2 linked regions of the Mytilus edulis genome follow. The protein of the gene in region 1 interacts with the protein of each later gene in a biochemical or structural test. Links are inferred from orthologs where the notes say so. Each region holds a gene or a part of one and is shown in the gene's direction. Other genes may lie near its edges. The genes, in order: serine/threonine-protein kinase NLK-like and transcription factor 7-like 2.

Region 1 (7,950 bases):
AACATATACAAGTGTCAATGTCCATAAAACTATCACTTATACTGATGTCAATGTCCATAAAATATATATCAGTACACTCTTAAAAACTAATTAATATGTGATCATACAGAGGAAATGTTGTACAAGTTCTTCATATATATATATATTTCATTTTCTGACCAGTATATAATATGTCTTGTTGTTTTATATGTACTAATAGGTAAATCGTTGCATTTCTTTCACTTTCCACTTCAAAAGCCATGACTACCATGACTACACCAAATGTATTTCTATGTAAAACAACACTAAAAACAGAAAACAAAAAGTATTCTGCAAATTGTGGCAACTTTCCCTTGAATATGTAGTTTACCTCTACCCATCAAATCCATTAATAAAAATATATACATGGTATTTGGTTTTCAATGATATATAACCAGAAATACATTTACTTAACAGTTGATGCCCCATGCTTTAAACATTTATATTAAAACTCATTATAAATGCATCATTTAATTTCACTATTTATAGGGCAAAGTATACTCAATCATATTGCCTTCAAATGTATATTTAAATTTCATCAAAATAAGAAACAGATGAAATAAAATGTACATCGATATTTGAAAACAGAGAGACACTGGATCCAGAGGTCAGTTCTCTTTTAATTTGAAAATCTCCCTTGAAAGAACAGTCTTGTGAAAATCTGCACTTTATGAGATACAACTTAAGATGTTTCTCCAGTATAAGTCATAGTTTAATTTTTCGAAATTGTTAAATAATGTTGAACGATTATTTGTTAACTATAAACATATTGTCAAATGTGACTAATTATTTGTTTTAGCTCATTAATACAATGATTTATTTGAATGCTCTATAAAACAAAATAAAAGAGCAGAGTTCCAATGTGCTCTGTGTTGCACTTATTCTATATTTTCAAGAGACATACATAAATTAGGCCGTTAGTTTTCTCGTTTGAATTGTTTAACATTGTCATTTTGGGACCTTTTATAGCCGACTTATATAAGGTATGGGCTTTGCTCATTGTTAAAAGCCCTACGGTGACCTATAGTTGTTGATTTATGTGTTATTTTGGTCTTTTGTGGAGAGTTGTCTCATAGGCAATCATACCACATCGATAGGCGAATCCAGGCCCCCCCCCCCCATTCGTGGGGAAAATTTTGTTGATTATATAGGGAATCATGGAAGCATGACTAGAGAGGCCCCCCTTTAGGTCAGTCAGCGCCCCTCCTCCCCTCTTGATAAAGTAAAAATATCGATTGCATAATCCTTTAAATTACAGCCTAGAAAATTAAAGAAAATAACATTGTATTTATATAATTCTTTAGGATTACATAATCTAAATCTTTAAATAATGTTTTAAAAATACTTTGATATAGATAACATTATACAATATAGATAGACATTACGTATTATTTGTTTTTACAATCCATAAAGATGGTTATTATAATACAAAACATAATTCTGTCTTCATTAACAATCATGACCCAATTCTTTTAGTGTAATTTCATCCCCCCCCCCCCTATACTTGCTATTTGAGGCATAAAACATGGAGAAATACCTTTAGAAGGGGTATAGAAAAACTGTCAAGTAACACACTGTCCACAATAGGGTTTATATTTGTAAACACAAATCAAAGAAAGAAAATTGTGGTTTCGGTTGTCATGGGTCATGCCACACATTTTTAAACTAGATACCCCACTGATGCATGTGATGATTGTGGCCAAGTTTGGAATAATTTGGCCCAGTAGTTTCAGAGGAGAAGATTTTTGTAAAAGTTAACGACGTGGGACGCGGGACGCAAAGTGATGGGAAAAGCTCACTTGGCCCTTCTGGCCAGGTGAGCTAACAATCCAAACATATTTATAATCTTAAATAACTAAAATGCTATAAAAGCACATTTCTCTAATTTTAAAAAATATGTTTTCTTTCATTTTTATGTTGATAAGTGAATAATTGAACAAATCTTGTGTATGGACACAGATGTATGACAATGACATATCTCACTCATTACAATCTCAATCTTTTTCAATTAAATTAAAAACATCCAATCAAATTTTAGTAACCTTAGTTCTGAGTATTTTGAGATGGCTGTTATTATTACAAATATTACATTAAAAGTCAGGATGAAACATTGTAAGTTATAAAAATACATTGTCATATTTTAAGGACATGTCTATAAATTGTTTTATTAATCTAAACTATTTCATATATTTTTACAATACAATGGGAGACAAATCATGTTTAACAATTTTGATTTTTGATCAATATAGATTGTCTCCCTTATTTTAGAAAAATAAATTTAAGATGAATATCATTCTATTTATCAATTTCAACTGCAGTTAAGATTTGTTTTCTTCTGTAGAAAATACTATTTTATAAACAAATAGAATAGAGAATGGAAAAGGGGGAATGTGTGAAAGAGATGACAACAGAAAACAGCTCATGGCCAACAATGGGTCTAAATGCAGCAAGAAAATATTACACCCAGGAGCAGGCTTCAGAAGGCTGCATATATATATTTAAGTCTCTCACAACTGTTATAAATGTGATACGGTCTTTAGATCAATACATGTATTTGTAAAAAAAAAAAGTGTTGTTCTATTGATTGATGACATAGGTAATTGGAGACACTCCTCCCAGAAACATCTTGCCTTGAAACACCCTGCAACATAGCTTTAGTGAACAAGTCACATCAAATGCTCCAACATAAATATTAGGTAAAGGTCAACCCAAAATCTCTGAGAATGTTTTTTTCTTAGTAGCAATCTATAAAAAAAATTAGGATGGCATGCTTTCACATCTGTGAGAAAGTGATCTATAGAATGGTTTTACATTAACAGGTTTAAGTTCTTATAAGCTTGCTTTCAGTTATTGCAAGTATTATGTGATAACAGTATTATTTAACATTAAAGTGTGTTTTTCTTTATTAAAGCATTTTTTGTTGTTGAGTTTTTGATATCTATCATACTTTTATCCTAGACCTCAGTGCTTTTCTTGTATTGTTCTAATTGTATTTTTTATTTATCTTTTGATAGTCAGCTGTTGTGAGAAGTATATACTCTGTGGGAATCAGATCCATATTTTACCTACGATCGTTTGTAATTTTTGAGTAGTTTCTCTTCCATTGATTTCAATCTAAGATATATACCCAGTGACGTGTGTGAAAAAAGTCAAAGTGAACATTTAGGTCATATATTGACCTATAATGGTTTACTTTTTTGAAATTGTTATTTGGATGGAGAGTTGTCTCATTGGCACTCACACCACATCTTTCTATATCTATTTGTGACTGAACTAGTATTTTCTTTCCTTCTCTAATTAAAAGTATTACAGTAGTGGTCAATAAACTGGTTCCTCTTGCGTGACTGTGTGTGTCAGTGTGATTATCATGATGCTGATAGATTATCAGAGTTTAAAAACGCGAAAATGGAACAATATCTACAGGTCCAATTCTTACAAAACGTTTTTTTAGTGCTTGACATGATATTCATTTGCTACTTGCTAGTGCTGTTCACTTAGCTTTGAACTGTATGTATTGGTCCTCTTTGGTGATTTCTGATTTCCCCGCTTTTCTGAGTAGCCACCTACATGTCTGTTGTACACACATTAAATGTTAAATTTGTGTTACATATCTTCCACTTACAATTAAAACTATACATACCAGTTTTAAGGCAATAATCTTCTGTCTAAACTCCACATTACATAAGGCTCTCCAAGAATCAATGATCTGTTATATATAATGATGCTACATTGATCACTCAGTAGATGCCCTATCTTTAAATCAATCTAAAAATATCAATGAAATCTAATTTTATCTGATCAATTATTCCACATCTACATGGATCTATAAGTTCATTAGTTGTAACCATCTTTCCACAAGATAATTCAACAACTTTTCAAAATGGATACAATTTGCAACATGAAAAAAATAATAAAAAAAATAATAAATTTACAATTTTCGTAAAATCATTCTTGAAATTCATAGACTAGTATCACATCTTACATCTGAACATTTTTTTTTTTATTTTTCCCAATCCCTGTTAATTCTGCCCCAAAAAAACTTCGTTAAAAATCATGAAAAAAAGGAGGATGTTTTCCCTTACATGCATGACCCATCACCTGGAAAATAATTATGATTACTGACTTGATATTTATATACACATATATTTTGTTTTTATTTACACATTCCCATGTATTTAATATAGTTTAATAATAACTTATGCCAAAGCCCTACCCCCTCCCCCCCTATCTCAAATTTTGTAAGTCTGTTTAAAAGTCTAAAAATGAAGAATTTTTCCTTCCTTTTCTACCTCTTTTGAAGTTCAAACAACAATTGGAATGTAAGAAAAAAATCATAGTGCTTAAGGCTATCTTAAAAAAATGAATTAAGTTCATATTTAATTTCTCAATCATACTATTGAAAAACAATTTTAATCTCCTTGAAGTTCAGTTTTATAATTTTTTTTATTAGAAAAATAAAAAATTCTACAAAGTTTAGAAATTATTCTTTCATTAATTTTTCAAAGGATGGATTTTTTGCAAACATAAATGTATCAAAAAAAATAATAATTTTGTCTTTATTAATTTTTGTCTTTTTTTTCCATTCAATAAAGTTTTATTAAATATTTTAATTTGTACAAATCCATCAATTGAGCTTCATGATAGTTCAATTCGACAAATACATGAACAATTGTCCAATTAAACAATAAACAGATAATTATCAATAAGTAAATCCTAATTAACCAATTATACTCCATGTCATAAGAACATTGTTATTTTCCCAGTGTTTTTCAACATTTGTGTAATTGAAATTATCCTTATTCGGATTACGTGTATATATATTCGTAGGATGAGATTTTTATGACGTGATCAAAACATGAATAAAGAAAACAAGGCTTCCACAGTCTACATCAGTCCTTTGTCGTCATGATGATCACTTCCGTAAAAAGAAATAATTAGTGGGCGTGTCTTTCACAAACACGTGCTTTCGGTTTGACATATTGTTGAAGTCCTTCTTCAGTTACCGGACATTTTAAGAAAGTATGAGTCTTAAATGGATTGTATTATTTTGAGATTTTGATAACAACTATCTTAACATTTTTCATTGATTCCTAGATGTTTCGCTAGTGGATAATTGAAAAAGATTAATTAAATTTTACTTTTCTTTTCGTGACCTACAACAGACAACATTGCATTTTGGGAAAGATTGAAGCGTTGTCACGTGATTTCTTTGTGTGCCGTACTCGCGTGTGAGTCAGAACCCTGTCACCAAATAACACGAAATTATCTTTATGTTTTGGTAAATTTATATAAGATTTCAACACCAAACTCTCCAGTTAATTCGGAGAGTCATTAGTGAGTGTGGATGTATCGGACTTAGAAATGCAACAGTGAAATTTGAGCATTCCAAGCGTTTTTTTCGTGCAGGCAGTGTTCGTGGGGTTGTAATGGCAGTGGTTGGACATAGACACGCGAGGCATATCATGGCTTTTCAAGGAGGGGCACCACCCGCTCCATCTCAGCATGCAATCCTCACAGCAGCAGTAGCTGTCCCATACTTTCAGGTTGTTCCTCCTCAAGACGTACAACCCGACCGGCCAATCGGTTATGGGGCTTTTGGTGTTGTATGGTGAGTGTATATTTCTTTGTTCGTCTCGTGCAAGTCTGTTCATAGAATATTTTAAACAAAGAAATAATAATAAAATGTTCATTTTCATATTATTCAATTAGTCAAAATAAAAAAGAAACGGGTACCGTTCATTGCCTCATCTTCGTTTCAACTTCTTTGTTCTTGAAGTAATTTCTTTGTGACATTGTCACAAAATCAGCTGATTGTTCGTGACAATGTGAACACAATTTACCTTTTTACAAATAAAGCATTCCATTCATAATTTAACTGGATTGATAGATAATTGTTATCAATTAAACTTAATAGAAAAACGGTATAAGATACAAATTAAAATTTATATGAAATTATCTTGTACGGACAGGTGAAATATATTTTGGAATTCATTTCATTTGATGTGACTTTATATTTGATTAGTAGACATGAACTTAGAGAATTTGTTTTTGTTATGAATTAAAGATATGTTGGTCATTAAAAATAGTTAAGTATGATCCACAGTCAACTTTTAGCTTTTTGTAAACAATAATAGTTTCACAAAAAAAATATCAAAACATCTTGGAAAAAAAAATTCCAGGTTTCAGTTCACAGTTGTGGTCCAATTGTTAACCTTATATATCTATCAGTTTTAAAAAGAAAAAAATCCCATCCAGCTCACACAGAAGTTAAACATATACTTATATTTTATAGGATGTTCAACATGTTCAATGTAAACAAATGAAAATAAACAAAAGGGTATTCAAGATACATTGTCATGAATGTGGTCACTTTAAACTATATACAATCCAAAAAGAAGCAAACAAAAAAACGATCGTTTTAAAAGAATATGTTAATTTGAAGCATTATTTTTAACAACCCCAGCTGTCAGATACAATACTTGAAAAAGTAAAACGAAAATCTTTTTTAAACGAGACCTCATGCCAACTTCCTTTCTGTAAATTGGAAATTGTCTTAAACTACATATAAAATACCCATTTGTAAGTATATATTGATGCATTTGTATAGTTATGGGTAATACTACATGTTTATTATGTGTGACATGCACAAGTATTACTCAAGAAAATTGTGCTACATGTACATGTACCACATTCCTACATTATTTGTTTATGAAATTTTTATTCAAAAATCAAATCAGAACATGCAATCTGATTTTACGATTAATCAATTAAGTTTTCAAGTCAACTCTTAACCCTATCTTAAGTCTTAAATTGATATATTACATGTTACAAGAAGAATATTTTATATCTGAATTTTGTTGCGTTGTATACGTAAAGACAATTTAAATGCACAGAAACCTTGATGTTAAAATGTTGAACTTGTGATGAAAAGACATTAGTTCTAGGTGACTGTCCATAGTGATCATTGACAACTTTTAACAGGTCAAAAAAGTCATTTACATTTTATTCATAGAAGTTAATGACACCGAGGTAAATGACCACAAAAATTTCATGTCAAATTTTAACATGATCTCAAAATGTACTTAAAAAAGATAGATACTTTTTATATAGTTTTGATTTTAAAAGACATCGATATCAATATTGAAATTTGTAGTTGATACGGGTGAAAAAAGTATAAACAGTTGGTTGTTTGTTGTACAGAATTGATTCACATGACTGTGTTGTATGGTTGCTGTCTTTTTGACATTTATTCTTCATCTCATACAAAAGATTTATAATTCGCTTTGCAATTCCTGAAAATTATGACACATAAAGTTTGTATGAAAAAAATAATTGTATGATTGCTGGTGACTTTCAGTCTACTATTCATAAGTTCGTATGATGTGGATGTAAATAATTATAATCTCTTCCAAAACGAGCAAAACATGCACAACAAAGTCAGCTATGAAAGATCACAAATTTGAAACCATTCATAAATTTTATAATTTGGTCCACCATAATTGAAAGTTTAATCTATTTATAGGTCAGTGACGGACCCAAGAGATGGAAAGCGAGTGGCCCTGAAGAAAATGCCAAGTGTGTTCCAGAATTTAGTCTCCTCCAAGAGAGTATTCCGTGAACTGAGAATGCTTTGTCACTTTAAACACGACAACGTAAGTACAAGAACATGATGAAGATTTTTCAAAATATATATATATACCGTACATGTAAATCATCATGTACAAGTAATGTATTTAATTTATATAGTTCTAGCAACTCAAATCATTGCTTTGATTTGTCAGGTCTTTCATTATTACTCATTTATGCACAGCTTTGTAAAAGTTAAAATAACATAAAAACTGATCTCTGCTCGAGGAAAATTGGAAATTGAAGTCCATAGTCAAATAGCAAAATCAAATTCTCAAACACTGCTACACACCATACGAATGTACA
Region 2 (7,974 bases), on another chromosome or scaffold:
TTGTCTCATTGGCACTCACACCACATCTGCCTTTATCTATCATATTTATGGCTGTAATTTCCAAAAAAAAAAAAACACCATATTTGTGTTTTGTTCGGTTTTTTTTAAAACTTTGTTAAATAAGGGAAGATAACTCAGATAGAGTAATTTATAATTGAAATGTGTTGAATTTGCCTTTTTTTAAGTAGCAAGATAAGTTCGGTAACCCATTTTTCTTTTTTTCTTTCTGAGAGCATGTTATAGGAGCTATCTTGTCACATTTTAGCTTAAAAGTCTATCATGAAATTTCCTTTTGATCACACAAAATTGATTTTCCGTGCCTGACAATTTTGCACAACCTCTCGGGTGAAAAAAAGGTCCGGTAACCTATAATTTTTATCAAATCTAAAAAAAAATTGCATAATAAAAACTTCATTTTGACAAATTATTAATTTATTATGATGAAGACATCCACATAAACACAGATACTTATTGCTGAACTGTCTTCAAATTTGTTTAGAAACGGCTTCTTGATAATTCAGAGAAAGCCCACATCTTTTTATTTTCTATATTCCGAATCAAGTTGACCAGTTAAAGAATACACATTTTGATAGGGTTTTTTTTCGTAGTTAGGATTTGAGTCGTTTGTGCTCAACTAGTATATAATTGTTGAGAGGCTAGCCTAGCTGAAGCACGCGTTAGAGTGCGGGGGTTTCTCGCTGCGTCGACCGACCTTCTAATCTATAGTCGGGTTGCTGTCTCTTTGACACATTCTCTGTTTCCATTCTCAATTCTATAATTTATTTCTTTTTCTTTTTTGTAAGTTGAACATTTTGAAATAAGAACCGATGACAGCAAAAGACGCAGGCGAGACACCAGATTCCGCGGGACCCGATACCCTTTATCAAAATATATACACACTGTTGAAATATGTATATTTTATTAACAATTGTTTATAATTCATTTTTATTGGAATGGAATCCTATTATTTACACAGACAGTAAGAAGACTATTTGTTATATTCTGCTATTTTTTTTCCATTGTGGAATAGGAATAATTTAGTTGTTTCTGGATTCTAAAATTATCCATAAAGCATTGCTACAAAAAATTCACAATAGACATTATACGTATCACACCGCCCCCCCCCCCCCCCCCCCTACCACCCAAAACAATCATGTTTGGCATGCAATTTCTTTAATGTAACATTTGCAAAACAAATCCGCAGTAGGAATTCCATTCAAGAAAAATGGAACGTGGAATCTTCCACTCGCCCCTATGCAACTGTGACACCCAATTCATACAAAAATGGACAGGCGTGTAATCATTACAACACTGCATATGATGAGCTTAATATATCGATGGGTGCAAGTACATTCCTATTACTGTGCCTTTTAACGATATTTACATAAACCATTTTCGAAACTTGAAATTCAATAAAACCGCCGTAAAAACACCGGTTAACTGTATCCAGCAGCATGCGGAGCAGAAAACTATATTTCCAATGAATAAAGTAAAATTCTCAAAATCGCATTGCCATAAATTAATGTCACGTCCAGTTGATGTTAATGTCCAAACAATAAGCTACCACCAGTATCTTGTTCGTGTTTATATTTTGGTGGTTTTTTTTATGTTCCTTATACGTCTTCAAGTTTGTATTCCCTGATTTTTATTAATTTTCCTTTGCATATGATTTCATCAAAGCCTTCATATGGTTACACTTTATTTAAAAATCTGTATACACATCTGTAGATGAAAGTAAATTGCTTAGTATAGGACCATGGAAGTATTATATCAGTGACCGTCAATATAAAATACTTGGGTTCCATAATAGGAGAGAATGTTATTTTTTCGTGAAGTTTTAACGCATTTGTACTTTCATTTTAGCCTGAATATGAACAGTTATAATTTCCATGACACTAATTTTATGGTTAAACGGGTTAAATATATTATAGCTTATTTATTTATCATTTACAAAATTTAGATATTTATAAATTAAAAATGTAAATGATCTGCTCTCATTACTGAGATACTTAATATATAGCATATACTTCTATTGTAATCAGCTTCTGGAATACTAGATATACGGCATAAATATAATGTAGTCAAATTTATATTCCATGCAAGCCACCCCCCCCCCCCCCCCCCCCCCCATTGCAACATTATTCAGGTAATTATTAAATAGTTATAAAACAAAACAATACTGCGCATTAACAAATGTATAACATAAGTCTGTTCAAAAAGGAATAAAAATAAAATGTTACAAAACAAAACAATTCCGCTTCAGTAGGGTATAATTTACGCTCAGTGATTCTTTAATATAATAAAAGTAACATAACCTTCGAGGGCGGTATACATGGCTATCAAATCCGTTTCGCTGATTTCTTTCATCTTTTTCTATCGATTTCTATGAAATTTTAATTTCATCCACCCGTCGCGAATGTGAATAAAACATATTTTTTTTTCATTTTAATATTTCTATAAGGAGCTGTTTTCACTATTTAAATAATATTTATCTATTCATTACGGTTAGTTTTAAGGTAACTGTTAAAATTATTAATAAAAAAAACCAACAACAACAAACAACCGAAAAAACCCGATACATTAAAAAAACTGGAAAAGTGAAAAAACAATAATACAAAATTAAGCACCAAGGGTAGAAAGACTTGATCATTTTGAGTAGCGCTAATTGCTGCATCAGAATCGCTTACGGGAACCATTTCTGCTTGAACCTAAAGCTATTCGTAGAAATGTATCTATGTATTTTGTAGATATTATAAAAACTTTGTAATTTTATGTTATTTGCTTATTGTGACACTATGGTACACGAACAAACACACACACACATACGCGCAGATATGTCTAAATTTAATCTCCAACGTCTGCGATGAGAGAAAAGGCAGGGTTTAGATATTCTCTTAAAAGGTCTGTATTTCTCGATTGCCTCTTCTGAGTGAAAATATCTTTAGAAAGATTTAAGTTGTAAGGCTTCTGAGACGAGATTTCGCAATGCTTTTGAGGGACGACAATTTAGTTCGTGGAAAGTAGTGCAGCTTTCAAATTTGGGCCGATCGGAATATTTAATTAAACAAAATTTCCTGACTTTAAAGTATTCTTTTTCTAATTCAGTTTTAATATTTATTTTCAACGGTGTGGGATCAAAATAATTATTAATAAAAAAAAACTGTTATACTCTCAACCTCACAATCTAATTATCGCTCCTTATTCTATTTTTTTTATCCGATTCTTTGTATGGACAAAAAAAATTAAAGACAGAAAAGAAGAAAATCAAAACTATACAGCTATAAACAAAAATGATTAATAATTGTTATATTTTTTTCATAATCACCCGTAAGTAAGTGATTTTGAATTATACCAAAAAGAAATATATCTTTCAAAACGTTTGATCTGAGACAATTTTAACACAGGTTTAATCTACTATTTATTTTTTCAGAATATTTTTAATTGACTTTAGTCTCATTTTATTTTTAAAAGAGGAATTAAATGATAAACTTCGTGTAATATTTCAACTAAAGGATATTAATTGCTTACCCTAGGTTTATAAACAGTTGCCCTGATAAGAAATTTAGAAGACGACATCAGTAAACAAGTGGAATATAAACATTTCCAGATTATTTGAAAGATGATATCCTTGATGTTTTCTTGTAAACCACGTACTCTTTAAATCTACATTCAATAGTTCTCACAAATTTTCAGAAAATGCATAATGTGTGCGAACGAGTATCTGCTTATTCTCTGTTTCCACCGGAATTACTTTACCTGTCAAGGAAAAGACAAAATGCAATACACATATCATAAATTTCTGATGACCAAAAAGTATAATTTTCCTTGTCGCATCCACTAGATGGCGATAGTTACAAGACAAACAAATTGTAAACAAACTAGACTGAATGTTCAATCTGAACTGCCATATAAGGTATCACAAAGGCTTGCCGACAAAGATCAAAGGAAACCGACGGAATGAGTTTAATACAAAAATTCCAATTTCTCATATAACACATTTCACTTTACCGTTGAAAATGACAAATCCTTTGTTTAAATAATTACTAATACACAAAAAATATAAGATTGAAGATATAATTTGAACAAATCAATGAATTTTTCTCCCTGAACACTTGACCTTTAGGGTGCAAGCCCATCTATCGGATCGTTGAGATTTGAGATAAACAGGAGATCAAAGGTTCTGTGTTAAAACATTATATGTTAAGACGCACAAGAAGAATGGAGGCTATTTAAACTCTTTTCGTCCAGGACAGTTTAAATAAGTCCATACGAAGTCCATCAAATATCTGACTTAAATAAATTAATTTAAATTATAATAATTTATATTATTTAAAATATCAGTTTTATATAACCGTTTTCCTATGACATTTCATCTTCAAAAAGCTAATTTTCTTAATTTAAGGCAAAATATTTACTAATCACATCAAAATCAATTATTCCAGCAATCAAAACACATTGCAAAACGAAGGAGAAGCACACATCATTTTTTCATTGCACTTGCACGCATTTACTTCAACTGTAGAGCTCTAACATCAAAGGGAAGGTACCTGGGGGCAAACTCCTCTGATATTTAAAATCGAATTACTTATGTAAATAATGACATGATGTTTGCAATTATTGCACGAACTAAGTAATATCGTGCTATTATTTTGATTGTAATGGTCAATTTAAAAAATGATTTAATTTATTTCGTACTTTTTTTAAGGAATGTATTTTCTGTAAAGTTGATTTTATTGTTTCAAATATCAAATTTAATAAATACGTGTCCCTTTCGATGACCTCCGTCATACCGAACCTATTTTGTAAGCCGAGATTTGATTGGCTATGAAGTAAAGTGCTCGTTGCCAATTGGGTACTTTCCCATCTGAATGTCTTCACAAGTTATTCATGGCGGAAACCAAACGTGTATGGGAGATAGTGGCACAAAAAAGAGTGGGATTTATTTAGGTTTTTGGTGAAATGACAATGCCGCATGTGAACTCTGGCGGCTCAGAAGACTTCTTTTCAAATGACGAAGTGAAAGTGTATAAAGATGAAGGTGAAGAGGAAAAGAGATCATCTGAAAATTTATCCGAAGACAAATTAGGCTTAGTAACGGAAACCGAAGAGGTTCGTAAAAATGTTGATTGAAATAATTACATCAATGGAGGAATTACCCTTTGATCTTACCATGTGATACGTTATACATCAACGAGGATATTTGCTGCAAATATAAGGGAATTTTGTTTTCTTTGCAGGGTAAAAATGGTAGTTTGGGGAACGGATACGACGGTGACAAAACAGAAAACGGGCGAGAAGATGGTAAGCTTTAATCATAATACAGTATTCCCTTTGATCTTTGTTAAGCAGCACACCGTTCTATTTTTATCACATGATAATATTATGGTCGCTTTACAACTCTGTTATTTAATTGTTAAGGTTCGTTATTGTAGTAAAATGGACTCCTCTTCAAAACATTGTGTTGGTCAGTGAACTGTAAATTTATTTACTACTTGTAACAACAGTTTTATTCACTTGCACTTTTATTTATAAGATGATTCATAATACAGGTTTTTGGTTATGTTTACACTTCAGTTAATAGAGTCAAATTTGATCCTACAATTTTGAATTGCCTGGGAATGAAGACCATTGGGTCAGATAAGCTAAGCTGACCAATGGTCATTGAGAGTGGAAGTTGTTTATTATACAGATAATTAGATAATCAGATCACAGTCTGTCAGATTTGATTGAAATCACAACACATGTCAATTAAACATGTTAATTGTTTTGACAACAATATCCTTTCTGTCTAAAATCCATTATCTTTTGTTTTCTCATACAAAAGGCATTTGATTCATTTATTTTAAAAGTTAATGTGAGGGCAAACAGAACAACAGTTTTCATAATCCCCTAAAACTGTTAGAGTAATGAAAATTAAAAAAGATGTGAAATTTCTCACCCAAAGATAATCAAGGATAAAAAAAATCTGAAACTTCTAATTTGAATAATTTTGTGCCGACTGAGTTTCAATATGTATAATTATATTTCTTAATTTTTACATAAAAGAAGAGTTTTGTCAAAGTAAATTCCAGTATACATTGAATGCACCCTGGTTCAATTAAAAAAATATATAAACAGAGAGCTTTAATTTGGTTTGTTATAAACAGATAGAAATATTTTATTGAATAGTTTTTATTAAGTGTATTTTTTATCAGTTAACAAAATTTAATTTTCAATAATTATCATATCATAACTGTTATCTTCAGATTTGGACTTTCTTATGATCCCTGAAAAGTTGTTATCTTCAGATTTAAATTTGAGAAGCAACTAGACAAAAACACTGAACAAAAGAAATAGTAAATATCTTTGGGTTTTTTGTTCAAAAGAAGATATATTTCTATTGTTGGTTTGACAACTTTAAATTAATTATAAGTGTAACCAAGCTGAACATGCCCTCCAACCAAAGAATAATCCTTTATATACTGATGGATCTTAATACAAAAATTAGGTCTAAAATGGCTTTTTCGAGAACATCTTGAAAAAAGGTAAATTCCTTGGGGACATATAATAGTGACATTGTGTAATAAAATTATACAATTTTCAAACAAAAACATCTCATACATTATTACAACACATGTAAGCCATCCAATGGCCAGACAAAATCATTCAGACTTATAATTAGGTCCAAAATGAAAAAAAAAAAAACTGTTGGAGAACTGAAACTTTTGTACTTCAATTAAACAACACTTTGTTAATTTTCAGTGTATAACTTTTATGAGGGGGATCGGAGGGCTCCTGATCTCAAAATCCTGGGCTTAAAAAGATGTAATCAAGAGGTCCCGAATATTAAATAAAAATAAATCCATGCCAGACATCCCGAAATTCGAAAAAAGAATTCCTGGATCCTTAAAGGTTCAATCCCAAAATCCAGAGATTAAAAATACCTGATTCTGACGTCCTGAAAAAGGTCCTGCCCCCTCTTTTATTAATGAAGTTGATAATAATTTCCAAATTAGCCTTGTTCAGAGTTAGTCTGTATCAGCTGCAAAGGGACTGTGGTTTGGTGCATCTGAAAATTGTTTGTTTACAATAATTTGTATTCTGTCATCATAATGTAGCCATGTAGATGATGACAATGGGCGGACTTGATTTCTGCCATTGTTTCTAAGGGTATATGATTAAGTTGTCAACAGTAATTGACAAGTGCTTACATTCAGCTGGTACTGACAGTCTCCTTCAGAAGATATCATCACTTCAAATTCCATACACAATTTGTAGACCATTAAGTCCTTTTCTATCAAAAATTGGAAACATATGGAAGTTTTCACTAAACAGCAAAATAAAAAAAATGAAAAAGTTAGGCCGTTATATTATCAGTTTGGAAATTTCACTGGTTAGGAAACATAGATATGATGCATATATTTATAAACTCAAATTTTAAAGCTGAAACCCATATCTATAAAAAGGAACAAAACTTTTCTTTGTCCATTGTACATGTATGTAAGTAATTGTTTTGAATAACAAAAAACTTCACTTTTGGAACCATTTTCAACTTACAAGTCTTGTTGAGGGACAAATGTTTTTGATTTATTTTAGGATTGAGTCGCAGCATCCTTTCATGTGTAACTCAATTATCTGTCATACTTTTGCTTTGAAATAGTTTTTATGTTTTGATTATTTTGTAATCATTAATCTTTAATATGAACCACAACATGAACAATTTAACCAGTGGTAAAAATTGTTTGAAAGAATACCATGAGTAAGTTGTAGGTTTTTGCCTTCCATCCCAAAAAATTGACATCATAATATATCCTAAAGTGCTGAAAGTTGCTTAAAAACAAAATGCAATTATTTAAACACAACTTTTAGTCTTGTATCAACCAACCTGGACCATATGAATGTCTTGACTGTTCAAGGTTGTTCATGTATAAAGCTCAAGCTAGAAGTTGCATTTCATTTCTTGTTTACTGTCCTCTTTACTATTTTGTATGGACT

What was found.
Region 2: of the proteins of serine/threonine-protein kinase NLK-like (region 1) and transcription factor 7-like 2, one has a biochemical effect on the other in vitro, tested with the Caenorhabditis elegans proteins (4 studies listed by BioGRID). The link is inferred for Mytilus edulis from reciprocal best matches to the Caenorhabditis elegans genes lit-1 and pop-1.

Annotation. Positions count from the first base shown.
Region 1 is NC_092349.1:90,583,052-90,591,001, forward strand, and holds the start of serine/threonine-protein kinase NLK-like, read left to right. Parts: upstream 1-4,907; 5' UTR 4,908-5,444; coding exon 5,445-5,626; intron 5,627-7,540; coding exon 7,541-7,670; intron 7,671-7,950. UniProt on the Caenorhabditis elegans protein: Has a role in the Wnt signaling pathway controlling the asymmetry of cell divisions during embryogenesis. Operates in the AB and EMS cell lineages influencing cell specification.
Region 2 is NC_092352.1:20,412,653-20,420,626, forward strand, and holds the start of transcription factor 7-like 2, read left to right. Parts: upstream 1-4,845; 5' UTR 4,846-4,959; coding exon 4,960-5,109; intron 5,110-5,237; coding exon 5,238-5,301; intron 5,302-7,974. UniProt on the Caenorhabditis elegans protein: Transcription factor. Part of the Wnt signaling asymmetry pathway. Binds to the consensus sequence, 5'-(C/T)TTTG(A/T)(A/T)(G/C)-3'.